Canis lupus familiaris: one gene and its partner. The protein of the gene in region 1 interacts with the protein of each later gene in a biochemical or structural test. Links are inferred from orthologs where the notes say so. Each region holds a gene or a part of one and is shown in the gene's direction. Other genes may lie near its edges. The genes, in order: PELI1 and UBE2V1.

Region 1 (3,821 bases):
GTGGTGGTGGTGGTGGTGGTGGAGGAGGATGATACGATGGTTACAATGAAGGAGAAAATTTTGGAGGTAACTATGGTGGTGGTGGGAACTATAATGATTTTGGAAATTATAGTGGACAACAGCAATCAAATTATGGACCCATGAAAGGGGGCAGTTTTGGTGGAAGAAGCTCGGGCAGTCCCTATGGTGGTGGTTATGGATCTGGTGGTAGAAGTGGTGGATATGGTAGCAGAAGGTTCTAAAAAAATTTCAGAAGAAAAGGGCTACAGTTCTTAGCAGGAGAGAGAGCGAGGAGTTGTCAGGAAAGCTGCAGGTTACTTTGAGACAGTCGTCCCAAATGCATTAGAGGAACTGTAAAAATCTGCCACAGGAGGAACGATGATCCATAGTCAGAAAAGTTACTGCAGCTTAAACAGGAAACCCTTCTTGTTCAGGACCGTCATAGCCACAGTTTGCAAAAAGTGCAGCTATTGATTAATGCAATGTAGTGTCAATTAGATGTACATTCCTGAGGTCTTTTATCTGTTGTAGCTTTGTCTTTTTCTTTTTCTTTTTCTTTTCATTACATCAGGTATATTGCCCTGTAAATTGTGGTAGTGGTACCAGGAATAAAAAATTAAGGAATTTTTAACTTTTCAAAAAAAAAACAAAAACAGGCATTCTTGGGGATCCCTGGGTGGCTCAGCAATTTAGCGTCTGCCTTCAGCCCAGGGCATTATCCTGGAGTCCCAGGATCAAGTACCGCATCGGGCTCCCTGCATGGAGCCTGCTTCTCCCTCTGCCTTGTCTCTGCCTCTCTCTCTCTCTCTCTCTCTCTCTGTCTCTCATGAATAAATAAATAAATAAAATCTTTAAAAAAAAGCAGGCATTCTGAATTATAGAACAGTGTCTTTACTATCTTATGAGGGTTCCTTAGATAAGTTGCAGCATTTTCAGTTTTTTCCTTTTCATAAAGGAGAGTTTTTTCTAAATTGTAGTCATGATACTCCTTCTACAAAGCATTACACTGATGGAAAATCCAAACATTTCTACATCAAAAAATTGGAGATATATCGGAAACTACCCTGATAAATTAGCCAGTCTCTGAGGAACTGATTTTATAATCATTCTGGGATTGCCTGCCTTCCTTCCAAACTGAACAAGAACATTTATTGTAATTCATTAGCTATTTAAACTCCAACTCTCTGCATTTGGTTGACACTATGAAGTAAATAAAGGAGACATTATAATTTGGTTATATTCATAGGTGTTATACTGGCAATCTAAATGTGAAGTACAAGTTTCTGATTGGGTTGAAGAGGAGGGAAGATGTCACAGTAGTGACTTTTTATCCAGACTTTTTTTTTTTTTTGTCATCCAAGTGAGTATGATTTTGTCAGTCTAGCCAGTAGAGAGGCATTCTGACAAAAGAGATCACAAAGTACACAGTGGTGTAGTAGAAGATTTACGGGCTGCTTGGGGCTAGAATATACTTTTCATATGAATGGCAATGATAGGAAACTAAGCTGGATCGGTAGGAAGCAAATTGTGAAGTCAATTTCTAATTATTATAGAAATAAGAAACTAAGAAGTTTGGATAGTCTGTGAGGAAGGAACCATTAGGGTTTTTAATGAGAGTGGGAGGGAATGACATGAGCTCTATATTTTTAAAGCTAATTGTAGCAGTTAGAGGAAGAATTGTTAAAATTTATCTTAACACAGTTACATTTTGGCACTTTGATCATGATCACATAGGCTTTTTCTCTTCATGGATACTTAAGGTTTCTTCCTTCTGACCTATCTTAACCAATATTGCTTTGATATCTTAAATCTCTAAGACTCAGCTCAAGTATCAGCTCTTCTGGAACAATCTCCCCTCCCAATTGAGTGCCACTTCTGAATATCTTGATTCTAAATATCAATCCTCAATCCATTCCTGGGCCTGCATTTTTTGGATCTAAAAGAACCTTTTATTTTTAGAAATATTTTTAGTTTCAAAAGTTTCTGAGACCATTTTCTTTAAATGTTATCTAAAAAGCAGGAAAAGGGACATGCAGTCTTAAGTTTGTTAACTAACCAGTTTTCTTCTAAAACCATCCAAATAAGAAAGACATGCTTGATGATAGGACAAAAATGCTAAAAGGATTTTCTCCAAAAGTGTGTGGTAATGAGGAATTCTTAAGACTCAGCTATGCAAAGAATGTCTTTGAAGTGTCATCATCTTTGTAGAGGGTCAGTGTTTTTTTCTAAATATCTACTTCAGTTTTATATTACTTGATAACAAATATATGAATGAACTCAGTTTTAAATGTTTACTTTAAAACCCTGTGACACTCTCCTCTATTCCAGATTTCCTTTTTTCTTTCATTTTTAAATGTTTACTTTAAAACCCCGAGACAGGGCAGCCCAGGTGGTTCAGCGGTATAGTGGCGCCTTCAGCCCAGGGTGTGATCCTGGAGACCCAGGATCCAGTCCCACATCAGGCTCCCTGCATGGAGCCTGCTTCTCCCTCTGCCTGTGTCTCTGCTTCTCTGTGTGTGTGTGTGTCTCTCATGAATAAATAAGTAAAATCTTTAAAAAATAAAATAAAATAAAACCCCAAGACAATCAGTTCTGTCATCTATTTCTTTTTTTCTTCTCAACTTTCATCTTTCAAAATGAAAATTAGTTTATTTGCTAGTGGTACCTCTGAAGATGTTTTAATTTACTGACCCATATATCAAAACTCTTATCTGGGAACCTTGTCTCTCTAAAATAATGGCCAAGAAACAGGAAGAAAATAAAAAGGACATCCAGGTATATAAAATAAAGGCCACATAAGCCATGTACTAAAATTCCTTTTCTTTGCTCCCTGGAGAATCCTTTAAGATCTTACCAAGAACCTTTTGAAATACTATTCTTTGAAGTCTGTTTTTGTTTTTTTTTTTTTCCTCAACCCTAGCAGAATAATAGTGGCTGATTAGAGGAGGGGTATGCTGCTAGAACCAAATATGCCTAATAGCAAGAAATGGGAGTTGACAACTTGACAGAAAACACACAAAAATATCTATAAAGTATGCATAAGGCCTCAAAGCAAAGCTATATAAGCCCATAATGTAAGGATCAGCATTCTTGTACACCTTTATAGCACCTGAAACATCACTGCATTCAGTATAATATAAATGGTATTTATAGTTCAATGTCTTGGAGTCATCATAAAAGATTTACTTGTGTGTTCACTATATTCTGTTGAAGAAGGTAGAGTAATACATGTTAGGCATATTTCCCTCCAAAGGGGTTAAAATTAAAGTTTCCAGCCATCTAGAAATCTCAGCCATGCTAAACTCTGCATTCCCTGAGGGTTTTATATATTCTGGATGGTAAGTTCCCACTTACTTCTATGCTCTAAATGATTATCATGTCAGAACAAGTATGACAGATTAGGTTTCCAGGGTGTAGATGCTCTCAGAGTTAAGTATAAGTTTGAGCTCTAGAAATTTCAGAGGCTTACTGATTTCACCTTTTTGTATCTTTCTTGAATGGATTTTTCCATTGTGTTCCTTCCAGTAGGTTTATAGACATTTCTTTTTTCCTTTAGATTGGTCGGTCGACTGAAAGTCCCATTGATTTTGTAGTAACTGACACAGTTCCTGGAAGCCAAAGTAATTCTGATACACAGTCAGTGCAAAGCACTATATCAAGATTTGCCTGTAGAATCATATGTGAACGGAATCCCCCCTTTACAGCACGGATTTATGCTGCAGGATTTGACTCATCAAAAAACATCTTTCTTGGGGTAAAAAGCTTTTTTCCTAAATGATGCATTATATTATAACCACTTCTGTTTCCAAATTACAAAAAGA
Region 2 (3,821 bases), on another chromosome or scaffold:
CCCACCACCCCAAAGTGATGAGGAAATGGGAAAACAGTTCTTGTATCCGCACCCACACCCACTAACTTTTGTTTAATTTTGAAGTTCTCAAAGTTCTCAAAGCACCTTTTCAGTGCTTTGCACATGGTGGTATTTACTGCATTGGCTGATGACCCTGCTGTGAGTAGACCTTTAATGTGGCTTTCCAGAGTAAAGAATGCCTATTACACACCATTGCCCAGAGCACAGGACAGGTCTGCAAAGTAGAGAAATTAATATAAAAACAAGTCCATCTGATTGGATTTAAATAACACTAACTTGAAACTTCAGTGATACTATTTTAAATTTTCTGCCTTTTTATTCCCCCAAGACCAGAATTGATATACACTAGTGTGGGGACAAGTTACTACTAATTTAACAAATAACAAGTAGACTATGTATAAATATAGGAAGTAGATACACCAGTTCTGCAGGCAGGAATAAATGGGGTTTCAAAAGATCTGCCTTTTTGAGTTCATGGTGTGTAATTGCCTGACATCTCTGTACCTTTTTTTTCCAGACAATTTATGAAAACCGAATATACAGCCTTAAAATAGAATGTGGACCTAAATACCCAGAAGCACCCCCCTTTGTAAGATTTGTAACAAAAATTAATATGAATGGAGTTAATAGTTCTAATGGAGTGGTAAGTTGTTTTTCCTGCCCATATTGTTCCTTTGGGTTGAGAGATGCTTTTTGTACTCAAACACCAGGAGCACTGTGGCCCTAATTCTATATTGGTGATTTGATAATCTTGATGATCTTGGTGATTTGATGATGAAATATATTGCAGTATGAACATATGCAGACTTGGTGTAAGGGCCTATTCCTCAGCTGTGTTTAAATCATCATTCGTGTGACACTTACTCTGGGCCAACACTGTGCTGCTTGCTTTGAGATAGGAGCTCATTCTGTCTTCATGATACACCCTCATGAGGTAAAGATGAGGAGCCTGAGGCTTGGAGCTGCAAAGTCCTATCCGGGGTCATAATTGTACTTCCTGAGCCTTATTTACAGGACATGCTATTTTTTTCCCCTTTAATGGCTTGCTTTTTCACATTCATTTTTACTACCATAAATGGAAAACCAGCCTCTCTTGTCATAGAAGGCAGTAATGGCAACAGTAAATACTACAGAATCAAAGTGACATTAATAAATGCCCCATGTTTCTTGCCAAAGGCTTTGAGCCTTTGAGACCTGCTCAAAGGGGAGATCAGCAAGTGTTGAAGGGTTTTACGTGTTAGCATTATGTGAGTTAAGCCTTTGTTTTGAGACACTCAGAAGACTTGAAAGAAAAGCGAAAAGATATGGGCTTGTTGCTGTGTGTTCAGTGTTTAATGTTGTATCTGAGCTCCACCAAAGTCCTGAACCCAAAACTCAACTCACACTTTGGGAAATTTCTTTTGGGAATTACGGTACTAACATGAGAGAATGTGACTCAGAGGCAGGGCCTTGTCACCAGAGTGTGGATTTGGGCCACCAGTTGCCTTTGCTCCTTACTGCACTGAACATTGTTATCATCTACCACCTGGGTGTAGAGCCAAGAAAGGACAGCCTTGAGCAGAGGCAGCAGCCAGTGCATCCAGGAGAGCAGGTCACTGTTCTAGAGCCAGCTGGGTGGAGTCTTGCTAAGTGTCAGGGCCATTTCTCTGAAGGTAGCTTTACATATCCATAGTTTCCTTCTCCTAAACAGTGAGGGTTCGGACACAAACAGGAAAAAACAGACTGCCCAGAGGGAGGGAGTCATGCAGGTAATTCTACATGTCAGATATGGTGGTGTGATGGGCATGTTCCACTTGAGAAATGCACTTTACTCCTATCTGCAGTTTTACTCCAGCATATAGTGATTCATTTGTTGGAGAGCCTGACAGTTTTTTTGTTTGCCTTTCTGTAGGTGGACCCAAGAGCCATATCCGTGCTAGCAAAATGGCAGAATTCATATAGCATCAAAGTTGTCCTGCAAGAGCTCCGGCGCCTAATGATGTCTAAAGAAAACATGAAACTCCCTCAGCCACCCGAAGGACAGTGTTACAGCAATTAATCAAAAAGAGAAACCACAGGCCCCCTCTCCCCCCCCATTCGATTTAAGCAGTCATTTTCCACAGTAGTACATTTTCTAGATACGTCTTGTAGACCTCAAAAGTACTGGAAAGGAAGCTCCCATTCAAAGGCAATTTATCTTAAGATACTGTAAACGATACTAATTTTTTGTCCATTTGAAATATATAAGTTGTGCTATAACAAATCATCCTGTCAAGTGTAACCACTGTCCACATAGTTGAACTTCTGGGATCAAGAAAGTATATTTAAATTGATTCCCATCATAACCGGTGGGGCACATCTAACTCAACTGTGAAAAGACACATCACACAATCACCTTGCTGCTGATTACATGGCCTGGGGTCTCTGCCTTCTCCCCTTCTCCTCCTGCTGGCTCCCTCCCTCCCTCCCTCCCTCCCTCCCTCCCTCCACCCACCCCTCTGTCCCTGCAACAGCCCTCCAGCTTGGGGTGGCTTGCTAGAATAGGCGTGAAGGTTTCAGGTCGCAGCCTGTGGGACTACTGCTGGGTGTGCAGGGGTGCTCCAGCTGCACCCCTGGTTTCCTTTTTTAAGTCTTAAATGATGCCCTCCCCCCTCCAAGCCATCATCCTTTCTCTTCCCATGACCACCCTCGGCCGAAGCATAGATTGTAACCCCCTCTGCTCCCCTCTGAAATTGGCCTTTGGTGAGGAATTCAGGGCTTTCCCCATATCTTCTCCCCCACCTTAATCGAGGGGTGCTGCTTTTTCCTTCCTCCTCAAGTCCCTTTTTGCACCATCACAACCCAATACTTCCTTGCTTTGGCCAGAAGCCATCAGGTAAGGTTGGAAAGAGTCTCTGACTTCCCTCGTTTAGTTTGGAACCACATTTACTCACTCTCCACCAGCCTGGGAATGAATATTGGGTCCTCAGCCCTGCCACCCTCTGCTGTCATCATCAGCTGATGCCGTTTTTTAGCTCAGGTTTTGATAAAGTGAAAAGAACAGTCACCAGGGGTATTCAGACCTGCCAGCTCTCAAAGTGCTTGGTGGTAAAACTTGGAGAAAGGCCACAGAAGACACTTGTAAGCACACACGATCCCTCTGAATGAATTGTTTTCTTTTCCTATAATTGCTTTTGCTTTTAACAATTGAAGAAGTTTTAAACAGGGTTCTCATGTGGTCATCTTACAATCCATTTGGGTCTAGTTTGGAATCTGACAACTGGAACGAAAAGAACCTTGGATTCGGTGCATACTTTGGTTTTGGTGCTGCTGCGTCTCATGGTCCTCAGCAGGGATCGAGAAAGAACTCAGTGTGCACAGCAGATCCCCGAAATTGGCGGGCTTGACTTCCTGGCAAATTGCTGCGTTTTTCCACTTTTCTGTTCAGGACCACTAAATGCTGAGATGTGGATGCATACCGAAATAAAAGCGATTCATTGTGTTCTAAAGATTTTTTTTTTTAATTTAGTGTTTGTATAAAACCACCTTTTGAAGCAGCAACTATCAAGTCTGAAAAGCAATCGATGTTTCCATTAATCTTTTTCTGGGGGATACCTTAGTTCTAAGGATTTAACATCCTGTAAGTAAAGTTGAACATAACAGTATTCCATAAGCAGCCTTTTTATTGTCAGACCATTGCCTGATTTTAATATAATAAAAAAGAAAGTGTGCGTTAATATTTAAGAAGCTGTGCCCTTCTTCCGCTTGGCATATAATTTAGGAATGGAATTTGACATCTTAAGATGCTTTGGGATTCAAATTGATGTCCTTAAATCAGGGGT

Evidence for each region.
Region 2: the proteins of PELI1 (region 1) and UBE2V1 form a complex in vitro, tested with the Homo sapiens proteins (3 studies listed by BioGRID). The link is inferred for Canis lupus familiaris from reciprocal best matches to the Homo sapiens genes PELI1 and UBE2V1.

What each region holds. Positions count from the first base shown.
Region 1 is NC_049231.1:65,023,031-65,026,851, reverse strand, and holds part of PELI1 (E3 ubiquitin-protein ligase pellino homolog 1), read left to right. Parts: exon of another isoform or gene 1-547; intron 548-3,556; coding exon 3,557-3,754; intron 3,755-3,821. UniProt on the Homo sapiens protein: E3 ubiquitin ligase catalyzing the covalent attachment of ubiquitin moieties onto substrate proteins. Involved in the TLR and IL-1 signaling pathways via interaction with the complex containing IRAK kinases and TRAF6.
Region 2 is NC_049245.1:37,194,490-37,198,310, reverse strand, and holds the end of UBE2V1 (ubiquitin-conjugating enzyme E2 variant 1), read left to right. Parts: intron 1-538; coding exon 539-664; intron 665-1,912; coding exon 1,913-2,059; 3' UTR 2,060-3,720; downstream 3,721-3,821. UniProt on the Homo sapiens protein: Has no ubiquitin ligase activity on its own. The UBE2V1-UBE2N heterodimer catalyzes the synthesis of non-canonical poly-ubiquitin chains that are linked through Lys-63.